2 linked regions of the Ovis aries genome follow. The protein of the gene in region 2 purifies or fractionates together with the protein of the main gene of each other region. This does not show direct contact. Links are inferred from orthologs where the notes say so. Each region holds a gene or a part of one and is shown on either strand. Other genes may lie near its edges.

Region 1 (8,117 bases), on a different chromosome or scaffold from region 2:
CCATCTGTTACCAACTCAGAGAAAGACACAAAACAAATATTTTGTCTAGACAAAAACTTAAAACTGGGGGGCACGAAAAAATATATATGGCCAGTTGGGAAGTAGGTTTTTAAATATCAAAAAATTTCAAATAAATCTCTCAGATTAGAAATAGAAAGTGAAACTGAAAAGTGAAAGTGTCCTGGGAGATACAGATGGGCTCTGACTCACCGCTTCCTTATCCTCACACCCTGCCTCGATTGTTCCTCCTGAGGTCATGCCCCTGAGTCCTTGCCACTCACTTTCACAGGCTAAGGGGCCCCACCCCTGGAGCCCCCCAGAGGGACTAGTCAAAATGAATGAATGGGAACCGCAGCAGCCTATCACCCCAAGGAAACACCAGTTGCAGAGGGCCAGAACACTGCCTGCCTTCTGCCCCCTCAGTGCCTGAGACAATCTGCCCCACAGGTTGTCTGCTGAATGAATGAATGCACAAACCAGTGAATGAACGAAGGCACAGTGCTGTGGGGAAGACACCTGGGCTGTCCCTTCTGATGCTGGGCCACCAGCTGTCAGGGGCCGGGGAACCGCCTTGCTTGTCAGACAGGAAATGTAACATCAGAAATGAATTTCCTCAAAGCAAGGACTTTCCCCAAAATCACACTGCCTGCTTTGTACTGTAAGTAACGGATGTTCCAGGAGAAGATAAGATTTCTCCATGTGAACAAAACTTGCTGACTTTCTTTGTGATCTCTGTTACAGACTTCCCCAGAACGTCACAGAAACTGAATTTAGATGGTAACATAGGACCTGATAAAACAGTGATGACTCTGAATATTCAATAATGGCTTAAAATGTTTATCGGCTGATTGGGAGGATTCCGGTGAACAGGCAGCACACAAAGCTTTCTTTTTTGGTTAAACAGGCAGTGCATTCTAAGCTGGTTAAGGGAGAGGGTGGATATAGGATGGAAGTGTTCAGAAAATATTTCCCTCTTCTCTTCCTAGTGCCCTTGACATTTTAAACAAGGGGGTTTCACTATTTCTCCTGACACCCACCAGAAGGTTCACTTTCCTGGTGATTCTCTTCCTTACAGCTTTCACTTGTTTATTTAATCGGCAAAGGACTCGCGTCTCAGGCCCCTGCTGGAGGCAAACAGCAGGAGAAATACCCAAGGCCTGGACATTCACAGTCCAGAGGTGTGGAGCTCTGTAACAGGGAAACAGCTGAGAGCAATGGGGGCAGAGGAGAGAGCAACTGACTGCTTGCTGGAATCAGGGAAAGGACGTTTGCGTGGGCCCTGGATGTTATGTAGGCGTTTACCAGGGAGAACCAGAGCATGAAGGGCGTTCTGGACATTCGTTCATTCGCTTGTTCCACAAAGTTTTCCTTGGGGCTCTTTCATGCCAGGCCCTGTGCTGGGTGCTAGAAACTTGAGGGACATCAGACTTGGACTTGAACCTCAAGGAGCCCCCATTCCACATTATTCAAGTCTCACCACAATCTGTTCCAGAGGTTCTCGACTGGGGCGGATTCTGTCCCCAAAGGGACATCTGACAATGTCTGGAGACATCTTTGTTTTTATTGTTTATCACACTGGGGAGGGAGGAGACCACTGGCATTGGGGGGGAAGGAGCCAAGGATGCTACTGAACTCCTTACAACACACAGGAATGCCCCCCACCCCTCCACAACACACATACAATAATCATCTGGCCCAAAGGGTCAACAGTGCTGAGGTTGAGAAACCCTGCTCTGCCCTGACCATGAATTCTAACAACCATAAGGGGGGAAAGTGAATGTGCAGTGCCTGGTCTAGCACGTGAAGCCTGAAACAAACCAAGTGTTCAACAAACATTTGCTGCAGATAACAGCAGCCCACGAATCCGGTTGTTTAATGGACTCTGACCAGACCCTGAGCTGAACACAGTATGAAGATTAGCTTCTGTGACCCTTCTCTGAGTGCTGATATGGACTACCGTTATCCCTCTGCAGACCAAGAAACCAAAACACAAAAGAACAGCAAAAGCTGAGGGAGCGCTTAATCGTGTCAGGCACTGTTCTCAACAGTCATCAACTCGTTTGATTCCCAAAGTCCCCTATAGTGTCACCGGAACTAGATCTCCACTGAGCACCATCTCCTGGTATTCATGCCCCCTCCAACACTGAACAGAACTGACTTGTATACTAAACAGAATGTGACACAAATGATGGTGTGACTTCTAAGATTTGATTATAAAAATCTTTGTAGTCTCCTTCTGCTCTTTCTGTTGGATTGCTCAGGCTGAGGAAGGCCAACTGCCATGTTGGGAGGACACTCAAGCAGCCCCATGGAGAGATATCTTAGGAATAACAGCTAGCAAGGAACAGCTAGCAAGTTGGCCTCTGGCCAACAGCCACAGGGTTAGCCACCTTGGAAATGGATCCTCTGGTCCCGATCCAACAGTTGGATGACTGCGGTCCCAGCTCATCTGACTGAAATCCCACAAGAGACCGTGAGTGAGAACCATCCATCAAAGCCACCCCTGAATTCCTTACTTAAGGAAACAAGCCACTAAATTAATTTTTTTTTTTTTTTTTGGCTGTGCCCCTCAGCATGTGGGATCTTAGTTTCCCCACCAAGGATCAGACCCATGTCCCTTGCAGTGGAAGCACAGAGTCCCAACTGCTGGACCATCAGAGAATTTCCAAGTCACTAAGCTTTAATCTGTTTTCCCAACACTGGATAAGTAACAGGATGACTATAAGTACTATTACCGTTCCCCTTTTAGAGATGAGTTCTATTAGACACAGAGGACAGGGACTCGTGGGTCTGGCAGTCCTGTTGTGGTAGAGCTGAAAAGTGGCCCCAGGCTGTCTGCACCTGCAGTGTGAACTATCAACATTGACTCCAAAGCACAGAGGCTTAGCCCCACCCCTCTTGCGCTCAAGCTTCAGTGCCCCTAGTAGGAAAAAGAAGGGCTAGAGTAGACAAGAGAAGCAACAGACAGAAAGGAGAATAATATATGAGGAGTAGGACGGGTGCTGGACTTCCCCAGGCCTCCTTGACCAGGAAATTCTTTCTACTTCCAAGCCAGACAGCAACACCAGCTGAGCATACAGAACCGACCACTGAAGTGACCTAGGGACAAAACCACAACCCCCATCGCAGCCCTTTTTAGCAACCAATGTGAGGGGCTGGATCCGGCAGCACCATTCCTCTGCCGTCCCTCCCAGGTTCCCCCAACCCTTCCGGAAGCCGAGAAAAGAGCTCACTTAATGCCATCGAGCCAGGTGACAAACTCATAGGCGCTGCTGGTGGGAGCGTGACATTGTACGTAGGACTCTGGAGCGCAGTCCACCGTGTTGAACACCACGAGGCTGTACTGGGTGCCCCCATACTGGGAGGGGAGGACAGGAGAACTTTTCATCTGGGACCCAGCTCCTTTTTCCCTCAGGGGAATCGGAGCTCCCAGCCCCTCCTCCCTCGGACCCGGGGGTCCGGACCCCGGTACTCCCACCTCAGACCCAGGACCCGAGCCCTTCCCGCCTCGGACCCAAGACCTGAGCCTCCTCCCCTCTCGGACCCATTAGTCCGGACCCCAGTCCCTCCTCCCTCAGCCCCAGAACCCGAGCCCCATTCTCCTGGAAACCAGAGTCCAGACCCCAGCTCCTCCCCGCTCGGACCCGCAAATCCCGACCCCAGCCCCTCGGACCCAGGTGTCCAAACCCCAGCCCCTCCCGCCTCCGACCCCGGAGTCCGGACCCGAGCCCTCCCACCTCGGGCCCAGGGTTCAGGTACCGCCCCCTCCTCCCGCAGACCCAGTCCGGACTCCCATCTTCCCTCAAACTCGAGAGTTCCAAGACTCACGTCTCCGCCGAAGTCCGTCTCGGCAGGAGGGCCGCCATTAAAATACCTGTGAGGGTCGGAAGTGAAAGGTCGGGGTGAGGAGAGAGTGTGGAAAACTAAACTCGGAGGGCGGGGTTGGGGCCGCGGAAACGGCACTCACTCTATGGCCGGGAGCAGGTAGTGCTTGCGGAGCCCCTCGAAGTAGGGCCCCAGATTGGCCGTGCCCTCAATTACAAACACCACGTCAGCCACGAGGCCCCCGGCGCGGGCCGGGCCCTCCGACCCGGGGACCATGCCCCGCGCCGCAGATGCCGCCGTCGCCGCCACCGCCGCCACCGCCGCTGCCGCCGCCGCCTCAGACACCGCGGGCTGAGCGGAAGTGCGCCTGCGCCGCGCGCGCCCCCGCGCGGGACGGCCTCTCGGCGCTGGCGGCGCGCTGGCGGCCATGTTTGTGCGGGGCGCCCGGGGCGGGTGGGTTTATCTCCATCCTCCTTCGCTCCCAGTGTGTGCAAGACTCAAAAAGGACCTAGAGAACTCCTTCGGGGACCAGAGGTGGAAGCTTGAATTATTTGCAGAACTTTCGAGGGCGAAATATACTGAAAGCGGCGCGTCAGACGCCATTTTTGAGGGGGGGGCGACCTTTCCGACACCGGTTTCAATGGAAGGGCCGGGAGACCTGGTTGCTATGCAACGCATACGCTGCCCTTGTTTTCCTAAAAAGACAGATTAGGTTTCTAGTTAAGTTCTTACTGGTTCTTGGGGGATGGGGGTGGGTGGGTCGTGTGAAGGGTCCAATCACAACGTCTAAAACGGGGTTACTAGGCAACGCTTTAAGGTGGCAATCAACTCTGAAAGGAGTGCAGCTGTTTTTTCCCCACTAAAAGAAGCCGAACTCTAACCCGAGTGGAGGTTGCTAAGCAACACCTGATAGTTGTTTTCTGGGAGAAGAGCCAGAAACTGGCCTAGAACATGAATACATTCCAGGTGGATTAAAAATGTAAATATAACAAATGAAACCATAACACTGTATAATCCTGAAGACTGGGGAAGAGTTTCTTATCATTACAGCAAAGCCAGAGCACGGAAAATATTGAGCTGTTTGTCCGCAGAAGACTTCATAAACCAAGCTGAAAACGATACGGTAAACTGCGGAAGTCACTGTAACATGTGTTGACAGAAATTTACTACCCAAATACGTATTACTGATCAATACAAACTTAGGAAAACAGAAATACTTTTTTTTTTTAATTGGGGAGGAAACTAAGCAGGTTTTTCCTGTACGCAAAAACATACTGAAAGTCGCTCATATGCACAAGTTAGTAAGTGCTAACACAGGGTCCAATGATAAGTCAGTTTATCTTTGTCATGTTAATTAATGCTGGAAAAATAAGTCCATGACGGTGGGAAGGTTTGGGTGAAATGAGCAGGCTCAGACGTGATCTAGTGGAGATGAAAACCAAAACAGCTTGCTCCAATGCAGTTTGTCAATATATTTCAAGGTAAAAGGGTGCATTGCTTTGCACTCAGCAGTATCACTGTTTTGTCTCATGTACTTTATTGATCCTTTTATTTTCTTTGCTGAACGCTTGTAAAGCAAATCCCAACATCGTATCATTTTACCTCTACCTGCTGGATAGGCATCTCCCCAAAGTTGCAGGTAACCACTATGCCATTAACATCTCTAACAAAATTCTTACTTCTTGGTATTGTCGAACACTTAAATCCATAATCAAATTTTCCCAGTTCTCACAAAATGTCTTTTTACAATTGTTTTATTTGCATCAAGATCCAACAATGACTGAACCTGTGTTTAGACATCTTAAAATTCCTTTAAATCTAAAGCAGATCCCTTCTTTTGTATGCTAGTGTAATTAAATTTTAATAAAATCATAAGGAAGATAAAAGTAAACTGGAGAAAGGCAAAATGATCAACAGGTATGGAGCTTGAAATGGTACCTAAAATGCCCTCCTAGCCATAAGGAAACTTTCCTTTAGATAAGCTGAATGCATAATTGGTTCTGTTAACTGATTTTAAACTGTTACCATGGTTACCATCAATGGATTACAAGTGGTAAAACAAACAATGAGATATTTTAGCTTGGACTTCAGCTTCTGGCATTGATAATTAGATGATATGACACTGTTTTTGCGACATTGGTGGTTTCATAAGAGGTATGGGTAGTCTTCAAGGATCTTACCTCCCCCGGAGAGGAAACAGAAATTGACAACAAGAAAAAAAGATGGGGTTGGAAAAGAAATTCCAGAGGTACTCATTGGCATTACCAAGAACCTGAAGGCAGCTGTGATGTGAAAAACTTGGTGTGGTTCCTCAGCTAAGCAATGGCCTTCCACAGCAGCTGACCTAATTCTGGGCTAGTCTTCAAGCCTCTCACACAGAGTGAAGTAAATCAGAAAGAGAAAAACAAGTATGTTAATACAAATATATGGAACCTAGAAAAATGGTACTGATGAATCTAGCAGAGGGACTTGTGGACACAGCAGGGGAAAGTGAGGGTGGGTCGAGCTGAGAAAGTAGCACTGAGGTATATACACAGTCACATGTAAACTAGTGGGAAGTTGCCAAATAACAAGTGGAGCCAGGCCTGACACTGTGATGACCTAGAGGGTGAATTCTCCCTAAAGGACTCCGACCAATAGCACAAAGACCACAGCTGCAGAGACAAGGATTGAATTTAGAATTCACACAAACAAAAATTAACCCGATGTAGCCCCATTCCCACCCCCAGGATTCAGGTACAGGAATTGTCAGGTTCATAATATACCACAATATGCAAAATAATAGAAATAAAGGACACTATTTAAGTTACCCTGGGCTGTGTAACAAATTACCCCAAAACTTAGTGGAACGAAACAGCAACATTGTTACTTTGAAGTTCCGGTAGATGGAATTGAGCTGTGGCTTAGCTGGGTCCCATGCTTCAGAGTTTCTTACAGGCTATAATCAAAGGGTCAGCAAGGGCTGTAATCATCTCAAGGCTCGACTGGACAGGACCTGCTCCCGTGCTCATTCTTGTCATTGTTGGCAGGGTTCAGTTCCTCCCAGGTTATTGACTAGAGGTTCCATGTGTTTCTGACCAGGGTCCTTGGACTTGATTTTAATCAACAGAAATTGATAAGAGGCCAAATGAGAAATTCAGGCAAGGCTTTACTGGGACTCTCCCACAGACTCTTAGCATGAGGGAGAGAAAAGAAGAACAAGAAACATGCACCCCTGCTTGCTCGTGAGGGGAAGCAGGCTGGTTCTTTTAAATAAGGTGAGGGTGGGGAGGGGTTGGGCTGGAAAGGTGGCTTAGGTTGTCTGCCCACCCCTTGGTGGTGCTGTGTGCAGGAATCGGGCACAGTACCCTGCTTTTGCTCCTGGAGCCTCAGAAGTGGCAACTGGTTTGTGGCCTTTTTGTATCTTATTGAACATTAATTAGGGCTCAGCATTTTTTAAAAAAAATCTGCTTTCAATGCAGGAACTGCAGGAGATGTAGGTTCGATCCCTGGTGGGGAAGATCCTTTGGAGGAGAGCATGCAACCCACTTTGGTGTTCTTGCCTGGAGAATCCCATGGACAGAGGAGCCTGGTGGGACAAACAGTCGGACACAAAGCGACTTTGCACGTACGTATATAATTTCCCCCAACTGCATGCATGCAGTTATTTTTAGTCTCATACTTTGTATTCTTTTGCTCAAGGAGATGTCTCTCTTAAGTGCAAGCACTCTAGTAAAGGTTCCCAAGTTTCAGGTCCCAACCTGACTCACAAGGACCTCTTTTGGGGTAAGTCACGACATGGCGTTGGCTGCATCAGAGTGAACAAAAGAGGGCAAGAGAGAGACTACAAAGAAGAATGGAAGTTGCCACTTTATAACCTAATCTCAAAAGTGACATCCCACCACTTTTGCCAAGTTCTTTTTTTATTATTTATTTGGCTCTGCCTGTTCTTAGTTGTGGCACATGAAATCTTTAGCTGCTGCATGTGAACTCTTAGTGACAGGATAAGGGGTCTAGTTCCCTGTGCGCGCCATGAGCCTGTTCAGTCACTTTAGTTTTATCCGACTCTTTGCGACCCCATGGACTGTAGCCCGCCAGGCTCCTCCATCCATGGGATTCTCCAGGCAAGAATACTGGAGTGGGTTGCCATTTCCAGGGATGAAATCCAGGAGCCCCCTGCATGGGGAGTGTGGAATCTTAGCACTGGACCACCAGGGAAGTTCCATATCTATGTAATTGTTTGTGTCTCTGATTCTAAAGTCCCAATCTATCACTCCCCCTGGCTGTTCGTTTTTATCCTTTGTAATATCCTT
Region 2 (7,927 bases):
GCTGCTGCTCGGGGCTCAGGTGGATGCCAGGCATGGTGCTGACCACCTTGCGCATCTCCTGGAACTTGGTCTTCAGGGTGTTCAGGTCCTGGTGGACGTCAGGACTGTCCTTGTCCATGCTGCGGGGGCAGAGGGCAGGCGTTAGCACCAGCAACCTGGGAGCTCCCTCCTCACTGGCCCCAACCCCGCATTAGAATGCCTGTCGCTTGCACACTGATCAGTGCACTGGGGGATGGGCAAGCACCCCTGCCCCCCTCCCCACAGCAGGTGCACATGGGAAGCTGGGTCTTCCTCCAGGGCTGCCTCCCCAGCCCAGCCTGCAGGCACCAAAGTTACATTTGCTGAAAGAGTGAACACAGGTAAGTTCCTACATATCTGCTGAATGAATGAAAAACCATCACCAACATCAGGCAACAAGTGGCAAGTAAAACCTAATGAAGTACCACATTCCTTCTAACGTGAGACACTATAGGCCATTCAGGAGACGATCAATGAGCAAGAGCTACTTTTAGCTGATGTTCTGATGCCTGAACCTGTTAACATGCAGTCTGATTTCCACAGAGCTATTCATAAATTTTACATTAGTCACAGTTACTGGAAAACTTTCAGCAGATACTCGCTCTCTCCCACCTTTCCCACCAACTCAGGTAAACTGAGCCTTCTGGTCCCACTCACTTTAAAGGTGGGATATCTTCACTCGTAGCTATTGTCGGCTGCCCGGAGACCCATGTTCCCTGTCTCGGCAAAGTTAAAAGGAAGCAAGAACAAAACCCTTCACCTGAGAACACAGAAACAGCCCATCAGTTGCTCCTGTATATTTTTTAAAAGTTAGGAAATGGGTAGATGAGCCTTTGAAAACAGGCGGTTGAGACTAAAATCTAAAAGCCGATGCACAGGCTGTTTTAAAAGTCACCCACTGAGGCACAAGAGGGGAAAGCTGTCAAGGATCATTTATTTCTCTCAATAAACGTTCATCCCTATTGGGCAATTTCAACCCAGATGGTGCTAATTCATGTTTATTATTAATCATTTCTCTGCTTACGCAGACAGAATAGCCATCTTTCCTGGTGATCCGCTAGTTAGAGCTCATTCCTGAAAGATGAGATACACTGGGGCCTGCTCACTATTTATCAATAACTCGAACTTGGAAGCAAGATCTGGAGAATCAATAGTTTATTCTGGGGAACAAATAAAGACATTTCCTGTTGTCTTCTGAGGTCCTCGATTCACACACACCAACTCTGGTGCACCTCACCCCAGCTTCAAGGAAGCGTTTTATATTCTGTTTCTTTCATGTCTCAGCTCTGATCTACAACTCTTGACAGACACCATCTGGACTTCTGAAATCATTCCATTTGGATGGCATATGTGCTAACACATTGTTATGAATTTAAGTCCCAAGGCAATTTTGAAATTAAATTATAGTTTTAAGAAAACTGATTCACAACACATAAGTCTGAAAGGACAAGGTACAAACAAACAAAAAAAAAAATTTTTTTTAAACAATAAGGTTCTACCATATAGCACAGAGAACTATACTTAATAGCTATGATAAACCATAATGGAAGAGAATATTTTTTTTAAAAGAATGTCCATATATGTGTAACTGAATCACTTTTCAATTTGTTTTGACAAAAATGTAACCACACTACACACATGGTTCTGATTCTTGGTTCTTTTTTCACCTGAAATGCACCTCGGACAGCTAGATGACATGGCTGTTACGAGTATGTGGATGTTTGTAACTGATCACCTGCGGTCTGAATGGGGATGACCATCCCACACCTGCACCTGTGTGTGCTGGGCACCCACAGTCCCCTCAGTCAGTGCTGCAGCTCTGCCTGCCACCACCTGCAGTTCATCCCTGTTCCTCCTCCTACTCCCCAGCTTCCTGTGGACCCCAGTCCTCTCCTCCTCCTAAAGCCCTCTGTCCCATCTACCTTCACAAAACCCAAGCACTAGCTCAAAAACTTCGGATGACTCCTCGACTCCCTGGTTCAGTGTCTCTGGGGTCAGACACCCAAGAGAGTCTATTTTCTTTGGCTGTCAGTTGAGAAGCTGGGGACAGGAAAGGGGAGGTATGGGTGAAGGGTGGGGCTGGGTCTCAATGTCCAGTCTGTGGACTTGCTCTCAAGCTCCTATTCTCAGTATGGCTCCCCTCCCCCAGCTCCCACAATGTGCCTAGTGTTCCCCAGTCCAGACACTCTGGCTGACTCTCTCCTAAAACAAATCTTGGGAAAGTACAAGCCTTTAAGCTGTCTGACCAAGGTCATTCAGCTGGTACCTTATAGAGCTATCATCTGTGGTTCATTTTTGGATGGCAACACCTATTCAATGGACATGAGATTGAGTAGACTCTGGGAGATAGTGAAGGATGGGGAAATCTGGTGTGCTGCAGTCCATGGGATTCCAAAGAGTCAGATACAACTGAGCGACTGAACAAAGAACAATTATTACTCATATATTAGAGATAAGAAAATCAAGGTCTAGAAAGGCTATGCACTTAACTAAAATTCCAACACAAGCAAGCATCAACATGCAGATCTGAACTCAAGAAGATCTGACTTCAAAGCCCATGTTCTTTCTCACAGACAATACAGTTCCATCTTTAAGGCCAGCCCAACCCAACTGCTCTATCAGGGTCAAAAATAGACTCGGAGAACACTGTGTGTTTTCATTTTTCCGTATTTTTTTCTAAAACCCGAATAAGCATATTTGGCTTGATCCTGGATAATGCCTGGGACTCCAGGGCTGCTTCTGTGTGTGTTTGCTTGGTCACTCTGCCTAGAAGTGCTACCTGATCACAGGCTCCTGGGAATAGAACAGTTTGCCTTGCCCGATAAACACTATGTTCACACCAAGTGAAGCCAGATGAAGTCAAGGTCTACTGTGACTACTGTGAGAACAAAGTCTTCACAGTCGTCTGAAAAGCAGTGGAAGTGTCAGGTCATCCCAGGGCAAGTGAATCTAATCCGCCTCAACTCTAAACCGGCTAGGCCATCACCAATACTTTTGTATTGTGAGTATCAATTCCATTTCAGCAAAACATCCAAGAGCATGTTGATGTTCACTTGAATGTTACTGTAAAAATAACAACTTTGTTACTGTAAAAGATTACAACTTTGTTGTAATCCACTTTGCTTTTATTTTTTAATGGCTGAATAAAAAGTTCAAGCCCAGGGGTTTAAACTTTGCTATCATGTAGACATAAATAACAGTTAACAATAATTTGGGCAAATGTGGGGATTGGGGAGATTTTGGCTGTGTGTGTGTGTGTGTTTTCCTTCTAAGGATAAGTTTGAAAACTCAGGTGATCTGAAGACTGGCCAAAAGCAGACAATCACCCCGTGTCGCCGGGACAGGGCACCCCAGTGCTGTCCGGAGGGCAGCGTCCTACTCCTGTAAAATTCCCAACATCACCCCTATAATCTCTTTGCATTATGGGTTATTCCGCTCATTAGTTTCCCCTTCTAACTGGTGAGCAAGGTGGGGATGAAAAGTCGGCCCCTCCACGTGTACACGCCACAGCACTTAGCAGTGTGCCACACATGGAAGATGACCCGTATCTGTCGGATCTGTGGGAAAACAGGCTCACCAGGCTGCACCCCAATGGTCTGCCCGCAGCGTCTGTGCACTTGCTGTCTACATCGGCTTCGTTTTAAGAACGCTGCTTGCCAGCACGGGGCCTGGTAACTCCCAGGAGGGAATGCTGAACTCTTGGGACTGCTCGCGGTGGCCTCGGCGTGGCCGCTCCCCTCCGGGTGTGTCTCCCCCTTGGTACCGCGGGGCGCCCCTGGATTTTGGACATGTGATGGGCAGCGGGGGCGTGCGGGCTGATTCCCCCGGGCCCTTACCATTTGATGATGCTGTGAACCAAGGGAAGGAAGGAGCAGTTCTCCTCCGCCTTCACGCCGGCAGGGGATGGAGGCTTCGGCGCGGGCTGCGGCTGCTGCGCAGAGACAGACGGCGGCGGCTGCGGCTGCGGCAGCGGCTTCATCTCCGGCAGCGGAGGCTCTGCGGGCGGCGGCAGCGTGTCCTCACCCTGCCGGCCGGCAGCAACCCCCACAGAAGCCATCGTGTCCCGGACCCCAGCAGCCGATCAGGGGGACAGTCGGCTTCGCGCGCCGGAAGTGTTGCTGATTATGACGTCACCATCGTGCGCCGCGGAGGCGGGGCCGGGCCTGGCGGTCGTTACTAGGCAACAGGCGGCTGGTCCTTGGTAGCCTGGATTTGGTGGTGCGCAGAGACAGCTAAATTTTTCAAAAGTCAGAAATAGAAGGTATACTTCAGGAATAACATCTCATTCCTATTCACGTTACAAAGAGAATCCAAAAGCAACCTGTAGAGGAAGATAAATGGGGCCTCAGGAAGAGTGGACAGCACCTCCGCACCTGCGGGTGTCAGGCCCTGGGCCCGTGGAGGATCCGAGGGGAAGGACCCACGGCTCCCACCCGCGCAGAAGCCTCCAGGGACGAGGTCTTGCGCCTACCCTATGGACCCTGAAATAAACCGAACAGTTAATATGCATCTTCTGGGTGACACACGCTGTGCTAACTGTGGGGGAAGGGTGAGGTCTGTCTCAACTTACTCCGAGCAGAGATGGCCGAAGGGGATTAGTACCAGGAATAAATACTGTATCCGAGGGAGAAGTCAGTGTCAGCTACTCTCCGTACCTGTGGGCCAGCTCCTGAAGCCCCCGGTCTCAGTGTGCTCACCTCTAAAATCTTTAGTTCAGGGTCATGGCAGAGCCCAAACCACTTTCCAACTTCAGACACATGGCTGACCTTTGAAGGTGTCCTTTGCATGAGCCCTGGGCTCTTAGGCGGAGAAGGCAATGGCACCCCACTCCAGTACTCTTGCCTAGAAAATCCCATGGATGGAGGAGCCTGGTAGGCTGCAGTCCATGGGATTGCTAAGAGTCGGACACGACGGAGCGACTTCAGTTTCACTTTCATGCATTGGAGAAGGAAATGGCAACCCACTCCTGTGTTCTTGCCTGGAGAATCCCACGGGCGGCGGAGCTTGGTGGGTGGCTGTCTATGGGGCTGCACAGAGTCAGACACGACTGAAGCGACTTAGCAGCAGTGGGCTCTTAGGTCAAAGTAGGGGACTCCTGGTGGGTTTGTGGGTATGTTCCTCAAAACAAGCCCTCCCAAGCCACAATGAGGGGGCTGTGTGATGGGGAGTGGCATCCTAGTTGGGAAGTACCCCTCTACTGAAGAGCAAGGTGGCCGGTGCCAAGGAAGCATCAGTGCTGGTATTTCAGAGGCATCTAGGAGGAGTCTGTAGAGGCAAGTCCCAGGGGAGGAGACTGTGGAAGGAAGTGGGGAGGGTGGACGGTGTGTCAGAGGGCACTTTGGTAACAGCCTTAGCACAGCTTTCTTATAAAAACTGCACCCCACAGGTGAGCACAGGGAGGTGGGGGGCTGCTGACTGTGGGCCTCTCCCCCTGAGGGAAAGTTCAGGGTTCTGGTGGAGAAGGAGGAAGAAGGACCCCCTGGGACAGGACCAGACGGGCTTGAAGAGGCTGTACACCCTTGGAATTGCCTGGGGACATAAGGGCGGTGTAATGATAATAATAGTAATTACCACAACTACTGTGGATTGAAAGTATGTACAAGGGACAGAGCACAATCATCTCATATAATCCACAAAAAACTCTGGAAAGTAGATGTTAGTGTCTCTGTTTAATAGATGGTTAAGAATCTGATCCAGGCCACACAGCTATCAGACAGCAAGACTCTGGTCTTAACCAACACAGAGGAGACCTCAGGTCCCTACCAGCCCTGTGACTTTGTGGTTCAAAATGTTAATGTGAGGTTTTTATTCAGAGTTGGGAAAGAATTCCACATTCATCAATAATCTCCCAGTAGAAATCACACGTCATCTTTCCCTCCTGGCGTTTCTATAACTTCATTACCAGCCCCAACTTTATCATTGGTAGAATGATGAGGGTATCTCTTTAAAAAAAAAAAAACACTTCAGGTATAAATAGATATGGGTAAAGAAAATGAATTGAAAACGTAGGAAGCAGGAATGGAGTAGGTGCCTTGACAGTTTGCCCTAAAAATAGTTAATTAGTGGTGAAGAGTGGAGCTGACCTCATAACATTTCAGGCAGATGTCAGGGAAACACTGCCTGTGCTGGCTTCATTAAAGCTGAAATTAACAGAAGTGTTTGTCTGCTTAGAACTTCTCTGTTGAAAGTAAAAAAAAAAAAAGAAGAAGAAGAAGAAGAAAAGCAGAAACCCCACAGAAACAACCATGTGGCATTGACGCCCAGAGTAAAGCTCGCTGAGTCCTTGGGCAGCTCTCCCTGCTTCTAAGGCCCCTGTGGGCTGCTGGTGGCCAGACCAGACCCTGCTCAGCCCATCTGAGGCTCATAGCTTCAGACTCTGCATAACCTCCCAGGAAGACTGAATGGGTTATTCCACATATATCACTTAGAAAAGTCCCCGGGAGCAGTAAAAATCACTTCTGACTATTGAGACTTTCTCCCAGACTTAGGGCATTTAAGAGGAGTGAGCTGAATGAGCGCCCTCGACAGAGACAGAAGGCAAAATACTTCTGTCGTTTTTAGTATTCTGGTAGCCACACACAAAGAATCAAAAGAAACAGGTGAAATTGATTTTGGTACTGTATTTTACTTAACTCGTGTATCCAAAATATTATCATTTCCACATGTGATCAGGAAAAATTATCAAAGAGGTATTTGAAATCTGGGCTTCCTCTACGGCTCAGAGGGTAAAGAAGGAGACATAGATTTTATCCCTGGGTTGGAAAGATCCCCTGGAGAAGGAAATAGCCACCCACTCCAGTATTCTTGCCTGAAAAATTCCATGGACAGAGGAGCCTGGTGGGCTGCAGTTCACAGAGTCACAAAGAGTTGGACATAACTGAGAGACTAAGCGCTCTTTGAAATCTACTCTGTACTTTACATACATAGCACATCTCAGCTGGAATAGCCACGTTTCAAATGCCCAGGAGCCAGGTGTGGCCAGGGTCCACGAACCTGGGTGACACATGTCTATCTGGACAGATCTCAATCCTAACCATGAGAGGAAAAAACTAGCAAGTTATACAAAGCAAATAGAGTACATTGCTACTTATACATATGTTTGCAACGTGAAAAATAACAATGAATATGATCCATAGATACAAAACATACATGTCAAAATGTTTGTAAAGAACTGAAGGGTGCGCCTCATGGTCACAGGGCCGGTGAAGTTGTATAACAGGCCCTGCACCTTTCTGTGTGGTGTCAAATTTCTTTTATAGATTATAAGGAAACTGTGAACAAGTGCCAAGTGTGGGAGTGGGTACTGAGGAACCCAGGCTCTGCTCTTTCCGGCTGTGTAACCTTGGACAAGTCTTCCTGTGCCTCAGATTCCTCATCTGAAAAATGGGATCATAATGGCTCCTAATGGGAGGTTACCCAGGAGGTTACTCCTGAATGGGTTACAGGAGTTACCTTGTGGGGAGGACCCCAAATGGTCCCTGACACATAGGAACCACCACTGAAGCTTTAGCTACTACTGCTACTGTTCTCAGAGAAGGCAATGGCACCCCGCTCCAGTACTCTTGCCTGGAAAATCCCACTGATGGAGGAGCCTGGTGGGCTACAGTCCATGGGGTCGCACAGAGTTGGACACGACTGAAGCAACTTCACTTTCACTTTTCACTTTCCTGCATTGGAGACGGAAATGGCAATCCACTCCAGTGTTCTTGCCTGGAGAATCCCAGGGACGGGAGAGCCTGGTGGGCTGCCATCTATGGGGTTGCACAGAGTCGGGCATGACTGAATCGATTTAGCAGCAACAGCAGCAGCAGTTACTGTTCTCATAAATGTCTCAAAAACCCCTCATGATTACTCCTGAAACAAACTGTTACTACAAGAACACACTTGAGAACCAGGCTACATCAAAACC

The links. Proteins that work in one complex are often made in the same cells at the same time.
Region 1: the proteins of MED9 (region 2) and MED25 purify together in Homo sapiens (co-immunoprecipitation; 3 studies listed by BioGRID and IntAct, with this or other methods). This does not show direct contact. The link is inferred for Ovis aries from reciprocal best matches to the Homo sapiens genes MED9 and MED25.

Annotation. Positions count from the first base shown.
Region 1 is NC_056067.1:55,907,774-55,915,890, reverse strand, and holds the start of MED25 (mediator of RNA polymerase II transcription subunit 25), read right to left. Parts: upstream 4,197-8,117; 5' UTR 4,102-4,196; coding exon 3,968-4,101; intron 3,875-3,967; coding exon 3,829-3,874; intron 3,359-3,828; coding exon 3,234-3,358; intron 1-3,233. UniProt on the Homo sapiens protein: Component of the Mediator complex, a coactivator involved in the regulated transcription of nearly all RNA polymerase II-dependent genes.
Region 2 is NC_056064.1:34,572,729-34,580,655, forward strand, and holds the start of MED9 (mediator of RNA polymerase II transcription subunit 9), read right to left. Parts: upstream 4,145-7,927; 5' UTR 4,076-4,144; coding exon 3,855-4,075; intron 120-3,854; coding exon 1-119.